Mus musculus: one gene and its partner. The main gene of each other region encodes a partner of the protein of the gene in region 2 in a complex. Links are inferred from orthologs where the notes say so. Each region holds a gene or a part of one and is shown on either strand. Other genes may lie near its edges.

Region 1 (3,644 bases), on a different chromosome or scaffold from region 2:
GATGTCAGGCCAGACAGCTAGAGCCTTTAACCTGCTGAACCATCTTGCTGGGCTGAGCTTGGCTTTATGAAAGTCATAAAATTCAAGTAGCACCAAAGGCATTTTGTGTAAAGTTTTAAGCAGGAGTCCAAGCTGGCAGTGGTGGCGCACACCTTTAATCCCAGCACTTGGGAGGCAGAGGCAGGTGGATTTCTGAGTTCGAGGCCAGCCTGGTCTACAGAGTGAGTTCCAGGACAGCCAGGGCTACACAGAGAAACCCTGTCTCAGAAAAAAAAAAAGGTGGTTGCTGATCCCACCATAGTGGGAGCTGGTAACTAGACTCCAAAGGGAAGTGGGCCTGCTATGACAGTGCTGGCCCACATCCAGCCATTAACTCTAGCATGGGCCAGAGAAGAGCATGCCACCACAACAGTCACCTCCAGGGCATAAACCCCTCACAGGCGAGCAGAGTAACAGGCAAGCACAAGTTGGTGTCACCATCAGTTTTAATATAGTAAGGAGCTTATGTAATTTAAACAGAAACAGAACAGGCACATCTAACAAGACCACCACAGCCTGACAACGGGCCGTGCAAGCTGCTCTGCAGGCAGGCGGGCGCCAGCACACACTCACTGCTCTGTAGGCAGGCGGCAGCACACACTCACTGCTCTGCGGGCGGGCGCCAGCACACACTCACTGCTCTGTAGGCAGGCGCCAGCACACACTCACTGCTCTGCGGGCGGGCGCCAGCACACACTCACTGCTCTGTAGGCAGGCGCCAGCACACACTCACTGCTCTGCGGGCGGGCGGCAGCACACACTCACTGCTCTGTAGGCAGGCGCCAGCACACACTCACTGCTCTGCAGGCGGGCGCCAGCACACACTCACTGCTCTGCGGGCAGGCGGGCGCCAGCACACACTCACTGCTCTGCGGGCAGGCGGGCGCCAGCACACACTCACCTGATGACATGATTGATGATGATGGGCTCTGGTGGCATAAGCAAGGCGTGGAGCCGCTGAGGGATCTCTGAGAACTTCATCCGCTGAGATTCAAAGATCTGAGGCGGGGAAGAGGGAGAGGCTACAAATCGGCACATTCAGTGCGATGAGACTCCCAAAATAGAAGGTGCCCTTCACATACCTGCTGGAGGTACTTGTCACAGAGAACAAACTCTCGCTCGTGAGGGTCCTGGAGCTTGTGTGTTTTAATATACTGCCACAGTGCTTGGATGATCACTGGACGTGTCTGGGTATGGATGCCCAAGAGCCGAGCCAGGCGAGGGTCTAATTTAAACTGGGGGGGCTGCGGGGAACCAAGAGTACAGATGAAGCTAACGAGCTGGCTCCATGTGTCTTTTGGGGCGCTCAGTACAGGAACACATTCAATCTAACAAACATTGGCAAATCTGGATAGCAAAGCTAGAGGACAGAGAGACTCGCTTGCTGTCGCTATAGACTTTGACCCTTCTGAGTAAGAACTCATGCAATATGGCCGTGAAAGCTGGACTCCTTCACACCTCCAAAGCATACCTGGTAGTCCAGCATCAGCAGGACAGTACACCGTACATTCACATCTCCTGGCCGCTTCACCTGGAAGCCATCGGTCTCCTGGGTAGTGGCGGTCCTGTGCCACTGCAGAGAGGAAGGTGTCAGGGTGTACTCTTCCAGAGGAAGAGCTGGGGTGGGAGGGACGCGTGTCGGTAATAACTCAACATTTAACTTTGATTACTGAGGCTACTGGGGAAGAGCAACAGCTCAAGGTATCTCTAAAAACACATATGGCTTTGGAATTATTGTCTATGTAGGCAGAACCTTCTAATCCTGTTTGAAATGGCGGTGTTTAAAAAGGCTTAAATTCGCCTGGCAGTGGTGGTGCACGCCTTTAATCCCAGAACTTGGAAGGCAGAGGCAGGTGGATTTCTGAGTTCCAGGCCAGCCTGGTCTACAGAGTGAGTGCCAGGACAGCCAGGGATACACAGAGAAACCCTGTCTCGGAAAAAAAAAAGAAAAAGAAAAAAAAAAAAAAGGCTTAAATTCCCAGTGATAATTTCACCCACAAAATGACTTTTATACATGGAACAGAAACCTAAGCTTCGCCTTTCCGGCGGTGACGACCTCCCTACGAGAACATGCCTCTCGCAAAGGATCTCCTTCATCCCGCTCCAGAAGAGGAGAAGAGGAAACACAAAAAAAAGCGCCTGGTGCAGAGCCCCAATTCCTACTTTATGGACGTGAAATGCCCAGGATGCTATAAAATCACCACGGTCTTTAGCCATGCACAAACGGTAGTCTTGTGTGTTGGCTGCTCCACTGTCCTCTGTCAGCCTACAGGTGGAAAAGCAAGGCTGACAGAAGGATGCTCCTTCAGGAGGAAGCAGCACTGAAAGCCCCTGATTGAAGATGAGTGGGAACCTTCCCAATAAACACGTTTTGGATATTAAAAAAAAAAAAAAAAAAAAAAAAAAAAAAAAAGAAACCTAAGCTTCAATTTACTGAGGGCTAAGCTGTCTATGAGTCTACGACACACTACATTCAGTACGTTACAGAGCTAGAACTTGAGCTGACTCTAGGCCACAGGTCTAGCTACTCTACACTACTGCTATGCTATCAAATCAAGCACTTTACAGATTTCTACCAACTCTGTGACTTACTTCCCATGTCTCTTAGTGGCTGGAGATAAGGGGCTGCAGCTACGGTGGTAAAGAAAGGGGCAGGTTAAGTCCCCAGAGAGCACTAGGCCACTCTAGTTTATGTCCCCACAACCCTGTTGCTAACAGCTAACAGTCTTTGAAGCATTGTACAACCAGGCGTTAAGTGTTCCTGGCTGTCTGAAGGATAAATCTAAAGGATCAGGGGCCAAGAGGAAGGTACAGATCAGTAACCCAGACAAGCTAGTGCTCTATTAGTCTACGAGTCACCCATTAGCTACAGAAACTGCTATCAAGAAAATAAAACACGTCAGTTACTACAGCCCACCAATACTTAAAGGAAGACGCAGAGACAGTTGAAAGTGTAAGGACTCCACTCTACCAAGATCTCTTTGGGGGCAGCAGTCTGGACAGCAACAAGTGAGTCAAATCAGTTACCAAGAGCTCCTGGGGCCCAACTCAGCACAGCTAGCGCCGCCTAGAGGCCAATGTGTGAACCTGGGCTAATCATCCCCTGAAAATGTTAAGGCCTGGAAGGCAGAACTACTCACTTCTACCAGATGGTTGTCTGGGCCATAGAGGTCTTTGTCCAGTTCGATCACCAAGGACTTAAAAAAGGAAGAGAACTTTCTCTTTTGCTTGGTGGCGTCATATTTGGACAAGGCCGCCTAGAAAAGAGATGGGGAGTGGGTGGAGTGTGTTGTTACACAAGGCCAGAAAGAAGTCCCCAGGATGGAGTTCCTTAAGAAGCAATTTCTAGGGCTGGTGAGATGGCTCAGTGGGTAAGAGCACCCGACTGCTCTTCCGAAGGTCCGAAGTTCAAATCCCAGCAACCACATGGTGGCTCACAACCACCCATAATGAGATCTGACGCCCTCTTCTGTAGCTGTCTGAAGACAGCTACAGTGTACTTACATATAATAAATAAATAAATAAATAAATAAATAAATCTAAAAAAAAAAAAAAAAAAAAAAAAGAAGCAATTTCTAACTCCACTGGGGAAATATCTTCTGGTT
Region 2 (4,243 bases):
ACGGCACAGCAGTCTTTGCTGCTTAACCTTCACTTAAGTCTTTCATAATTTCTCAGTTGGATGAAGTTGTGGGAATTAAGCCGATGGCCTGAAATTCAGGCGCAGAGGCCAAGGTTGTGAAAAATTACATAACTCCTGAGAGAGACCGAGTGCTTTTGCCCGGCCTGCCTGAGTGTTTCTCTTCTCCACCGGCTCCTCGCCACCTCTGAGGCCCAACAGACAACTTTGCTTCCCAGCCCCTTCTCCCTCTTTTGTCTGCTCTTCAGACTCGTTTTCCACCTTCGTACCGCTCCCTTTAGACGTGAAAACAAACACAGGGCCGCGCGCGGGTTGGCAGGGAGACCGGAGGCACGAGGGGACCGAGCAGCTTCGGGCCCCGAGCGCCGGCAGCCGGTTCCCCCCCCCCTCCCCTCGCTCCCCCGGGCCGGGCCCTCCGCGCCAGGCCGGGCGAGACCAGCCGGGTGAGCGGGGCGAGCTGGCGGGCGAACGTGCGCTCAGCGGCGGCGCCCGGGGCCGAGTCCAGTCCGCGTTTTGCGAGTGCGCAGCAGCCCTCGGAGAGAAGCGGATAATAGTTGCTCCGGCTCGCTCGGCTCCCTCACGCCGCGCTGGGCCCGATTAGGCTCAGGCAAGTCGTGCATTTCCCCCCCCCCCCCATATCCGGGTTAGAGAGGGGGGAAAAAGAGAGAGAGAGAGAGCGAGCGAGAGTGAGGGAGGGAGAGAGAAAAGTTTCATTGCAAGCGGAACTAAAAAACTTTCCGCCCGTTCAGGCCGTAGCGGGCGCGAGCCCCCGAGCGCAAAGGCGCGCCCCCGGCGGGCGGCCCGGGGCTGCGGGGGGTGGGGTGGGGAGGGCACCGCGCTTCCCCGCGGGCCGCGTGGATGCGCGCAGGAGGGGCGGCCGGCTGCGAGTGGGGACATTGTCTCCCCCCACCCCGCCCGGCCGCGCCACGCCGCGGCGATCATGGCCGCGCGGGCAGCAGCGGCGGCGCGGGCGCGGGCGGGCAGCGGCGAGCGGCGGGCGCCCTCGGGGCCGCGGCCGGCGCCCGGGGCCCGGGACCTGGAGACGGGCGCGCGCGGCGCGGTGGCGGCTCCGGGCCCCATCCTGGGGGGCGGCGACGGCGGCCTGAATAATGTGCACCACCACCCCCTGCACCCCCGTCACGACCTGAACATGGCCCATAGCGCGAGCGCCGCGGCGGCCGCCAGCTCCAACAGCGCGCAGAGCGGCCGCTCCGAGGCGGCTCTCAAGGAGGGTGGAAGCGCCGCCGCGCTGTCCTCCTCCGCCGCCGTCGCGGCCTCTTCCTCCTCGGCGGGCCCCGGCTCGACCATGGAGACCGGGCTGCTCCCCAACCACAAACTGAAAGCCGTTGGCGAGGCCCCCGCTGCACCGCCCCATCAGCAGCACCACCACCACCATGCCCACCACCACCACCACCACCATGCCCACCACCTCCACCACCTCCACCACCACCACGCACTACAGCAGCAGCTAAACCAGTTCCAGCAGCCGCAGCCGCCGCAGCCACAGCAGCAGCAGCCGCCGCCACCGCCGCAGCAGCAGCATCCCACTGCCAACAACAGCCTGGGCGGTGCGGGCGGCGGCGCGCCTCAGCCCGGCCCGGACATGGAGCAGCCGCAACATGGAGGCGCCAAGGACAGTGTCGCGGGCAATCAGGCTGACCCGCAGGGCCAGCCTCTGCTGAGCAAACCGGGCGACGAGGACGACGCGCCGCCCAAGATGGGGGAGCCGGCGGGCAGCCGCTATGAGCACCCGGGCCTGGGCGCGCAGCAGCAGCCCGCGCCGGTCGCCGTGCCCGGGGGCGGCGGCGGCCCAGCGGCCGTCTCGGAGTTTAATAATTACTATGGCAGCGCTGCCCCTGCTAGCGGCGGCCCCGGCGGCCGCGCTGGGCCTTGCTTTGATCAACATGGCGGACAACAAAGCCCCGGGATGGGGATGATGCACTCCGCCTCTGCCGCCGCCGGGGCCCCCAGCAGCATGGACCCCCTGCAGAACTCCCACGAAGGGTACCCCAACAGCCAGTACAACCATTATCCGGGCTACAGCCGGCCCGGCGCGGGCGGCGGCGGCGGCGGCGGCGGAGGAGGAGGAGGCAGCGGAGGAGGTGGAGGAGGAGGAGGAGCAGGAGGAGCAGGAGGAGCAGCGGCAGCGGCAGCAGGAGCCGGAGCTGTGGCGGCGGCGGCCGCGGCGGCGGCGGCAGCAGCAGCAGCAGCAGGAGGAGGCGGTGGCGGCGGCTATGGGAGCTCGTCCTCGGGGTACGGGGTGCTGAGCTCCCCGCGGCAGCAGGGCGGCGGCATGATGATGGGCCCCGGGGGCGGCGGGGCCGCGAGCCTCAGCAAGGCGGCCGCCGGCGCGGCGGCGGCGGCGGGGGGCTTCCAGCGCTTCGCCGGCCAGAACCAGCACCCGTCGGGGGCTACACCGACCCTCAACCAGCTGCTCACCTCACCCAGCCCCATGATGAGGAGCTACGGCGGTAGCTACCCCGACTACAGCAGCTCCAGCGCGCCGCCGCCGCCGTCGCAGCCCCAGTCCCAGGCGGCGGCGGGGGCGGCGGCGGGTGGCCAGCAGGCGGCCGCGGGCATGGGCTTGGGCAAGGACCTAGGCGCCCAGTACGCCGCTGCCAGCCCGGCCTGGGCGGCCGCGCAACAAAGGAGTCACCCGGCGATGAGCCCCGGCACCCCCGGACCGACCATGGGCAGATCCCAGGTAACCCCCGCGCCCGGCCGGGCCTGCTTCCGCCCGGGCCTCGCGCCGCGAGCCCGACTTTCTTTCTTCGCCGGGTACTTTTCCCGGCGGTTGGCGGGGGTGGCGGGGGCGCGGCGCCGCCGGGCCGGGGCCGGAGCTGGCGGGGCTGGGGAGCCGGGGTGTCCCGCGCCCTTGCTGCGCGCTGCGCTCCCGTGCCAGGCCCGGGACGGGACCTCGGTGCCCCAGGCCGCGCCCGCCCGGGGAGGGCTCTCGGGGCAGCGGGCTCCGGGGCCCGGCTTGACTCCGCCGGCGCCCACGGTGTGCCCTGAGTGGGCGCGGGGAGAGAGGAACTTTCTCTCTTCGGGCCTCGGTCGGTTTCCCATTCCCCTTGCGAGGAGGAGGCAGGGGGAAAAAAAAAACCAAAAAAAAAAAAAAAAAAAAACCCAAAAACCGAGGTTAGCTTTGTGACAGCCGTGGCTGGTGGAGTTTGGATGTTTACCAGCAAGAATAAGACCCAGATTTACAACGGGCGGAGGCGAAATATTGTAAAATAACATCGATTCGTTCCTAAGAATAGCTGGGGAGAGATCCATTATGGGGCTAAGGGCTCCTTGGAAGGAGTCACCTTCAACCGGGAGGCGATGTTGAAGGAATAGATTCCGGATCGATGGAACTTATTTTGATCATGGGTTAGGTTTTCCTTTTTTATTCAGCAAACCTAGTAAGGTAGTAGGCCAGAGAAAATGGGTCGTTGTGGATCGTATTTGAGTGGATTTTCTTGATTTTGCTGTCTCCCAAGTCCAACAGCGTTGTTAGGAAGTGTCTTGCGCTCTGGCTGTTTCTTGCTAGTAGGCTGAGCCTAAAGACTGACTTGATCTCTCCTTTGCAAGGTTTGGAATTTGAATTGTGGAGGTAAACTGGCTGTAATAGTCTCCAGACAGCTGCCTCTGAGTTGACATCTAATCTGCCATCTGATTGGCTCCCCTCTCACCATTGGGCATTTAGCACTGCTGATGTAAATAGAAGTGCGGAGCAGTACAGTCACAAAAATTCCTGACACAAATAATAACTGAACTCTATTCCAAGCACATGGAAGATTGAATACTATTTAGAGCTTAAATTGTTATGAATCATAGTTAGTAATAAAGGATTGAATACAGAGAAACATGCTGTTGTCCAGTATTAGGCATTTATAAAACTTGGGTCTTCGATGACAAATCTTACAATATGAACATTACATTTATTGTGGGCTTTAATTGTGGACTGAAAATAGGAGCATTGGGAAATAATTAATGCAAAGATTGGACCAGTTTGGGCTTCGTCAAGCTTTTTTATAAAAGTCTGCTTTTTACAGATCTAATTGAATATATTTTAATCCTACCAGTTTACAGTTTAATGCATTAAGATTTCAGTATTCTGAAATGCTATAACATTTCTTACTGATATTTAATTATCTAAAAATCAGAAGAAAGCTATATAATTGGTGATTCTTAATTAGCTTAGAGCCAGAATAAAGCTATGCATTTTTAGTGATTTGTGTTC

What was found. The genes of interacting proteins can lie anywhere in the genome.
Region 1: Arid1b (region 2) and Smarcd1 share a complex: the UniProt entries of both Homo sapiens proteins name them as parts of the neuron-specific chromatin remodeling complex. The link is inferred for Mus musculus from reciprocal best matches to the Homo sapiens genes ARID1B and SMARCD1.

Annotation. Positions count from the first base shown.
Region 1 is NC_000081.6:99,705,279-99,708,922, reverse strand, and holds part of Smarcd1 (SWI/SNF-related matrix-associated actin-dependent regulator of chromatin subfamily D member 1), read right to left. Parts: intron 3,297-3,644; coding exon 3,180-3,296; intron 2,419-3,179; exon of another isoform or gene 2,077-2,418; intron 1,613-2,076; coding exon 1,511-1,612; intron 1,284-1,510; coding exon 1,122-1,283; intron 1,039-1,121; coding exon 941-1,038; intron 1-940. UniProt on the Homo sapiens protein: Involved in transcriptional activation and repression of select genes by chromatin remodeling (alteration of DNA-nucleosome topology).
Region 2 is NC_000083.6:4,993,771-4,998,013, forward strand, and holds the start of Arid1b (AT-rich interactive domain-containing protein 1B), read left to right. Parts: upstream 1-1,324; coding exon 1,325-2,722; intron 2,723-3,154; exon of another isoform or gene 3,155-4,243. UniProt on the Homo sapiens protein: Involved in transcriptional activation and repression of select genes by chromatin remodeling (alteration of DNA-nucleosome topology).